Linked DNA regions of Callithrix jacchus. The protein of the gene in region 2 purifies or fractionates together with the protein of the main gene of each other region. This does not show direct contact. Links are inferred from orthologs where the notes say so. Each region holds a gene or a part of one and is shown on either strand. Other genes may lie near its edges.

Evidence for each region. Proteins that work in one complex are often made in the same cells at the same time.
Region 1: the proteins of CCDC68 (region 2) and CEP170 purify together in Homo sapiens (co-immunoprecipitation; 3 studies listed by BioGRID and IntAct, counting the BioPlex papers as one, with this or other methods). This does not show direct contact. The link is inferred for Callithrix jacchus from reciprocal best matches to the Homo sapiens genes CCDC68 and CEP170.

What each region holds. Positions count from the first base shown.
Region 1 is NC_133520.1:42,978,369-42,982,086, reverse strand, and holds part of CEP170 (centrosomal protein of 170 kDa), read right to left. Parts: coding exon 2,358-3,718; intron 1,609-2,357; exon of another isoform or gene 1,506-1,608; intron 1-1,505.
Region 2 is NC_133514.1:98,119,668-98,123,385, forward strand, and holds part of CCDC68 (coiled-coil domain-containing protein 68), read right to left. Parts: intron 742-3,718; coding exon 601-741; intron 1-600. UniProt on the Homo sapiens protein: Centriolar protein required for centriole subdistal appendage assembly and microtubule anchoring in interphase cells. Together with CCDC120, cooperate with subdistal appendage components ODF2, NIN and CEP170 for hierarchical subdistal appendage assembly.

The sequences.
Region 1 (3,718 bases), on a different chromosome or scaffold from region 2:
GAACAGGTATGTTTGTTTGTTTGACTACCTTCTCCATACAGCTATTATAGTATGTTCCCACTGAATGAAAGATCCTGGCCACTGTCCTAGATAAGATGTAATACTATGCGCATCTTGAGAGAATCTGAATATACAACCCTAGATTACAATGTGGCTTTAAGCTCATAAGGTGGAATAAAGAATATACACTGGGTAAAACATCAGAGCAGCAAAGATTTTAGTAAACGATACCAAAACCTTTATATTGTATATTGACCTTGCATATGCTCCTGATAATAATCCAGTAGATTCTGTCTTCTCGAAGCTTGCTCACAAGTAAACACTAAACTATTTCTTAGAGCTAGAATAAATATGGTCGAAAAACAACAGGCTGGGCATGACAAAATTCTCATACCTGCTACAGCCATGTGGATAAGGCAGGTTATTTCTTCTCTTGGCCTCAGTTCTCTCAAGGGAATAACCCTCCTAACTCTAATATTCCATGAGTCTAATTATTTAATTTACTGCTATTAAGTATGAAAAGACCAAAATCATATACCTCAATTTGTCCTAGGAAATTTCATACACAATTCAAGGTTCTTTTTGGACACAGACAACTAACTGAACATTTATCAAGTTCTGTATTCAAGGCAGCAGAAATGAAATTTATCTTTATAATAGCAACTTGCAGTTGTTTCTTAGACTTGCTGATGTAATCATATTTAGCCTGCATCTCAAGCCTTATCCTAAATATCGAGGAATAAGGCCACATCATGTGTTAAGAGGTACTCCAAGCTACTTGGTAACATACCAATTACATTAAGACAGGAGAATATATACATATCTTAATGTACTTAAATGGGGATGAGGTGATAAAACACGGAGGATAGCAGAAGAATTTCATCAGGAAATGCAGTATAGATGAAATGTGAATTGAAGAGTTAGAGCTATAAGCAACAACAGAACAAAAATCAACCAAAATACAGTAGTTAGTTTTAAAATATTTGGCAATAAATTTGTGAACTGCCAGCCAAAGCTTCAAGTATGGAAATGAAGACTGGGGTAATAAGGAAAATGATGTCTATGTTTTATTAGAATCATGATTATATGTTATCTGGCTTCAGCCTACATCCATTCCTACTAGAGACAGTGACCATCATTACCAAACTCACTGACCAGCAAAGAGAGACAGGTGAATGGAGTGGAGGAGAGCAGCAGTAAAAAGAGGAAGAAAGGTAAAAAAGTATCGTATGCAAAGTACCGTTCCTTCTGGGTCTTGTAGGACACAGTGTGGTAGATGTGAACCAATCAAAAATAAAAAGATGAGATTTCACATCAACTTCCCCTCCACTCTTACTTAACTCAAGACTTAGGGCTCACTTAGATGTCTGCTGACCGAAAATAATCAGCCATCTTCATGTCTGTTATAACAGATGCTCTCCCACATTGGCCTTTTCAGCCACGCCCTCATATAAGCTCATTATGAAGTAATGAGAGCATGCTTACAGGATACAAACAAATATCCACCTCATCACTCTTTGGTCACACATGTATCTCAATGGCTTCAGCTCTGACTATGAAGTACATAAGCAAACAAATATAATAATAGCAGTTAAATTCTGGTGGAGAGTAAGTACTTTTTGTAGTTATTATATTCAATTACACCTAATTACTAGGGTTAAATGATATAACAGCACTTTGTGAGATAATGTTCATAACCAGTAAAATTTCTACAGCTCGGTTTGACCAGTATATGCTGAGTGATTCCCCATGAATTCATCTTCTTCCACTGAAATAAATTAAGGATTAGTTTTCACCTGCTCCAACTGTAAACAAATTTAACTTTAAAAAGTATAGATAAAGAACGAAAGACATTCAAAATAGGTAAGAAAAAAAAGAACAAAATATTATTTCACTTAACTCTGAAAGGAATAATAAAGCATATACTGCTTTTTTTCAAGTTCTTCACCGCTTTGAATTATGTGAGGATATTTAAAGGTTAAATACATGCTTTTAGAAGCACAATGTTAATTCCTATTATTTAAACCAGATAATTCCAGATAATCTAATTTTGACACACAAATCCAAATATTTCACCAACTGGAAAATTAAAACTGCTAAATCTGCTCAATGAATTCCTAATTTTTGAAATCACTATTTTGCCCCAGGACTTTAATTGGAAGTATATATAACTTCTGACTTTTCCATTTACTAGGCTAAATAAAGTTATTTCATAGGAAAAAAAAACCCTGTATATCATAACGTTTTTCTTTTGAATGAGTATCTTGGGAAGACAACTAGAGACTTAATTTTTTTTAAAAAAGGTACCCCAAAATATACAACATGCTAATGCTATTCAAAATCTGGATCCAATTTACCTGATGCAGAGCCATGAGTTGAGGTCATACTTTTGACCTTGGAGTCTGAGAGTCGAGAAATACTGTTAGCTCTAATTCTAGGAGAAAATTTATCTGATGGTACTAATCTGGCTCCACTTCTAATGATGGCTTCTGCGGTCCTCGAAGAGGCACTACTTCTAGAAATTGTTGCTTCAGAGTCACTACGAGCTGACAGTGAGCCAAGTCGTGTTCTACGAGGCTGAGCCAATAAATCAATCCGAGAGATGTTGCGCCTTCCTGTGGGAGGTTTTGATGTAGAACTTGTTGTGGATACTTCAGAAGCAACAGATGCTTTGTCAGCATCGGCAAGTTCACTGTCTGAAGCTTCACCAAGTCGTGCTCTGCGCAAGAGGGAAGTCCTGGTAGGTCGTGGCCTTGGAAGAGTGGTGGATTTACTGGATGAACCAGGTACTACAGGAGAAGTCTTAGATTTCACTACTTTACTTCCTTCCAGTTTGGAATGTACATGCTCATCAGCTGAGGTAAGGGGAGTCCGAGCATGAGGTTTACAAGAATAAGTTTCTTGATCAGATGACATAATATCAGAGATAGCAGAATGAGGTACACTGGAGGTTTGGTCATCATCTGTTAGGTCCACTGAAGGCTGTCTTATTCTCCCACTAGATTGAACAAATTTACGACCATCTGCTCTTGAACCCACATCTGTGGAACGACTTTTTGTTTTCTTTTCAATTTTTTCCCTAGCACCTGAAGATGATGCTTTTGTAACATCTTTGGAAGGAGAACCTGTGGAACACCTATCTTTATAGAGGCTGGTAAAACTCTTTCGCTTTTGGGTAGACTTTCTCTCAGTTTCTCCAGTAACCAGACTGATTGTACTAGCTGTATCTACATCAGATTCTGGTGAAATAGAATTGTCTCTATTATAACTAGGAGTATCTGGTCCTTCATCAGTTTTATTATCTTCACGTAGTTTAGCTTCTAGAAAAGCCATTACCGCTTCTGTGTCTTTTAGAATAAGGGTTGTGTCCATACTAGAATCAGGATCCAAACACTCACTTCTTTCCCGTATCCTACTTGCAGATGTTAACGCTAAAGAAGAAGGAGTAGAAGTATTCTGTTTATTTATATGGGGAATAAGTTCTATGGGTATGTTTGAGCTGGGCTTTTCTATAGTGAAGCTCCCTTGTCGCACTAATGACTTGGAGGATTCCTTCTTGTCGCCTCCCTTTGGAGTCTGAGTTTTCAGAATTTCCTCGGCTTTTCTTCTCTTGCTCTCACTTTGTGCCATTCTTTCTGCTTTGCTTGTAGAATGTCCTGAAATTTTTTCTGGAGGTTGTGATTCTTGTTTAAAAGATTCTTCCCTACATTTATCTGTC
Region 2 (3,718 bases):
AGTATTGAGGGCAATGATGCTAAAATGTCATGAATCTTTCCAGGATTTAACCTAAGGAAACAGTCAAGGATGACTGTAAAGATTTCCCTACCAAGATATTCATTGCAGGACTGCATATAAAATAAGCCTTTAAAGAGGAAGATCAAAAGCATTCAGCAATAGACAAATTTAAAGAATATTGTGGCATTTTACCATGAAGGCTATAGTTAATATTTATTAAATACGAACACACTTTTTAAAATGTATTGCGGATTGTGATAAGAACACTTAACATGAAATCTACTAAGTGTATAGTATAGTATTGTTAACTATAAGCATAACCTTATGCAGTAGATTTCTAGAACTTATTCATCTTGCATGACTAAAATGGTATAACTTGAACTTTTGTAAGATATTTTCAATAACAAAAGAAGCCTCAACAATAAAACAGTGAGATATGATTTGTGAAATATAAAAATCCTTCTCCAGGGAAGGGAGCATACAGGGGGACCTATGGATATGTATGGACATCTCTGCTTTTACAGAGCCATGAACACTAACAACACACTCTATTAGCCCAAAGGCTCAAAACACAAAATTTGAAACTTCTAACAGTGATACCTTGATTTTCAATACTTCATTCTCTTTGTTCATTTCTAAGAGCTGTAGGTCTTTTCCTTTGATCTTTTTCATAAGCAAATCCAAACTGCAACAAGAAGGATCCATTTCAGAATGAGAGCCCTGTTGAAGATTTCCACAGCACTGAAATGGACAAACATGAAAATCTGACTATTTTTTCCTCTACAAACTTTGACAACAATAATGATCATTCAGTGTTAGATATATCAAAGAGGCTTCAGGTCAGCATAAATATACATCTTTTGAATCCCAAATAGCAATGGAAAATTCTAGATGAAACATCTGACTTCTATATTTGCTCAAATTTGAACAGATTCTTATATTGGAAGCGGTAGAATGACATTTTAACTTTTATATTTTCTATAGTTTCACATATACTGATAAGTGCTTTTGAGGAGATAAATAACATCCGCAAGGCCAGATAGTTTTAAAAATCTAAGTTGTGGACATAATTCCATTTTGGTTACATTGCATTATAGACTAATACAGTCAGACCTAATAGTTGCAATACATAATAGTCAATGTTTGGTCGTGTTTCACTGTAATTTCCTCATATTAAATTTCCAATCAGAGATATCCGAACTGAATGGCACTTCCATTATAACTTGATGTAAGCTCTAGCTCACTGAAAATATACTTGGAGCATAAATCTCATCTGGAATTGTGCACAGACTAAAGTGGAAAAGAAATTAGAAACCATCTAACTTAACCTGTCCATTTTACAGATGTAGAAACTGAGGACCAGGGTCCAAGTTTATGCAGCAAATGAGCAAGAGACCTCATGTCACAGCCTCTTAAATAGTTACTGTGTGCCCGTTCTTTCAATTTATTTCAAAACAGAGAAACTATTACACAATTACACATACCCCACAATTATAATAACAACTTCTATTTGTTAAACACCTGTTATGTGCCAGGTCATCTTTTAGATGTTTTACGTACTGTCTTTTGTCTGAATGCTCAAATCACTGAAAGGTACTACGCCCTTTCCACAGGTGAGGAATTTGAAGATGAGAATTTAACTAACATACCTAAGATTATACCTAAAGCAACTGCCAAATCAGAATTAGAATCCCAGTTTGTTTAATAGCAAAATATATGTTCTTTTCACTACAGTATAACTACACTTGCAGAAATAAAAAACACAAAGAACATAGTGCATGTGGATAGCATCCTCCCTCACTGTAACTCTGCCACAGTTCTGTTTTTTATAGTCCAGGCCCTAGTGCATGTTCCCACTCTCCATATATAGAATAGGAATAATTTTCTTTTTTAATTTGTTAAAGAATATTTGACAGAAAATCTCTTGTAGAAGAAGGTAGATTATCAGCAGTGGTAGATGGCTACAAAGATCATTGATCAGTGCTTTTCAAACTTCAATGTGCCTGTGAATTACTGGGTGATAGATCTGGTTAAAAATGCAGATTCTGACCGGTCATGGTGGGGTGGCTCATGCCTGTAATCCCAGCACTTTGGGAGGCTGAGGTGGGTGGATCACAAGGTCAGGAGTTTGAGAGCAGCCTGGACAACATGGTGAAACCCCATCTCTACTAAAAATACAAAAATCAGCCAGGAGTGTTGGTATGCACGTGTAGTATCAGCTATTCTGGAGGCTGAGGCAGGAGAATTGCTTGAACCCAGGAGCTGAGGTTGCAATGAGCCAAGATCATGCCACTGCACTCTAGCCTACGTGACAGAGCAAGACTCGGTCTCTAAAAAAAAAAATGCAGATTCTGAATCAGTGGTCCTGGAGTAGAGCTTAGATGCTGCATTTCTAACAAATTTCTGGTGATGCTGAGCTGCTGGGACTGCAGAGCATACTTGAGAGTAGCGAGGCCCTAGGTCACTCTGGCCAAATCCCTACAGGGCCAGAAGGCTGATGTTTTGATGCGTGGTTGATCTGCTGACCTTCTGTGGTTTGAGGCGGCTAAGACAGATACATGGCAACACACTGTCGTCACCATTCCCATGAAGCCACTCCTATCAAGCCACCAATATGCTCCACATTGTTACATCCAACGGTTGGCATTCAGTCCTCAATTTTCTTGGCCCATAGACAGCATTTGACAGAGGCGTCCCGCCCCACTTCTGAAACACTTTCCTCATTTGCCTTCAGTGACTCCTGCTGAAGTAACCTTGACAGGAGTAGCTCTAAACCATGAAAGGTCAGCAGATCAACCACACTTCTAATCATCACCCTCTGGCCCTGTAGAGGTTTCACCATAATAATCTAGGGCCTTGCTACCCTCAAGTGTTGGTCTACAGTCCCAGCAGCTCAGCATCAGCAGAAGTTTGTTAGAAATGCAGGCCGGGAGCAGTGGCCTGTAATCCCAGCACTTTGGGAAGCCGAGGCAGGTGGATCACAAGGTCAAGAGACCAAGACCATCCTGGTTAATATGGTGAAACCCCGTCTCTATAAAAAATACCAAAAAATTAGCTGGGCCTGGTGGCACGTGCCTATAATCCCATCTACTAAGGAGGCTGAGGCAGGAGAATTGCCTGAACCCAGGAGGCAGAGGTTGTGGTGAGCTGAGATCGTGCCATTGCACTCCAGCCTGGGTAACAAGAGTGAAACTCCGTCTCAAACAAACAAACAAACAAATGAAATGCAGCACCTTAGCTCTATCCTAGAACCCTAAAATCTCCTTCTTTTCCTCCTAATCCACCAGCCTCATCTTAGCTTATGAAACCCTTTCCTCATTTGCCTTCCAGTGGACAACACTAATGAAGTACACTTGGCACAGATGAGGTTTAGCCTGGTGTAATCCAGACAATGCTAAGTACAGGCTCGACTTTATGTATATAAAGCTGATATTGTAGAAGGGAGCACATTCAAGCTTATCAGCTATCTGACAAAGTAGTTACTCAACTCAGGCCTAAAAGCTTCAACTGTGTATGTCTATTCGTGTGGCCCAGGTGAGCCTAAAAGCTCTGCCTGTCATTGGGAAACATCACTGTCATCGATCTTGGCTGGGCTGACATCTTCTCATTCACTTTAGATAAGTAAGCTTTGTTTAATATATTCAAGTAAGGCCTAGCCATTCCAATTTGATCTTACTCATAACATTCGTGGTTAAACATTTCACACATATGATCATTA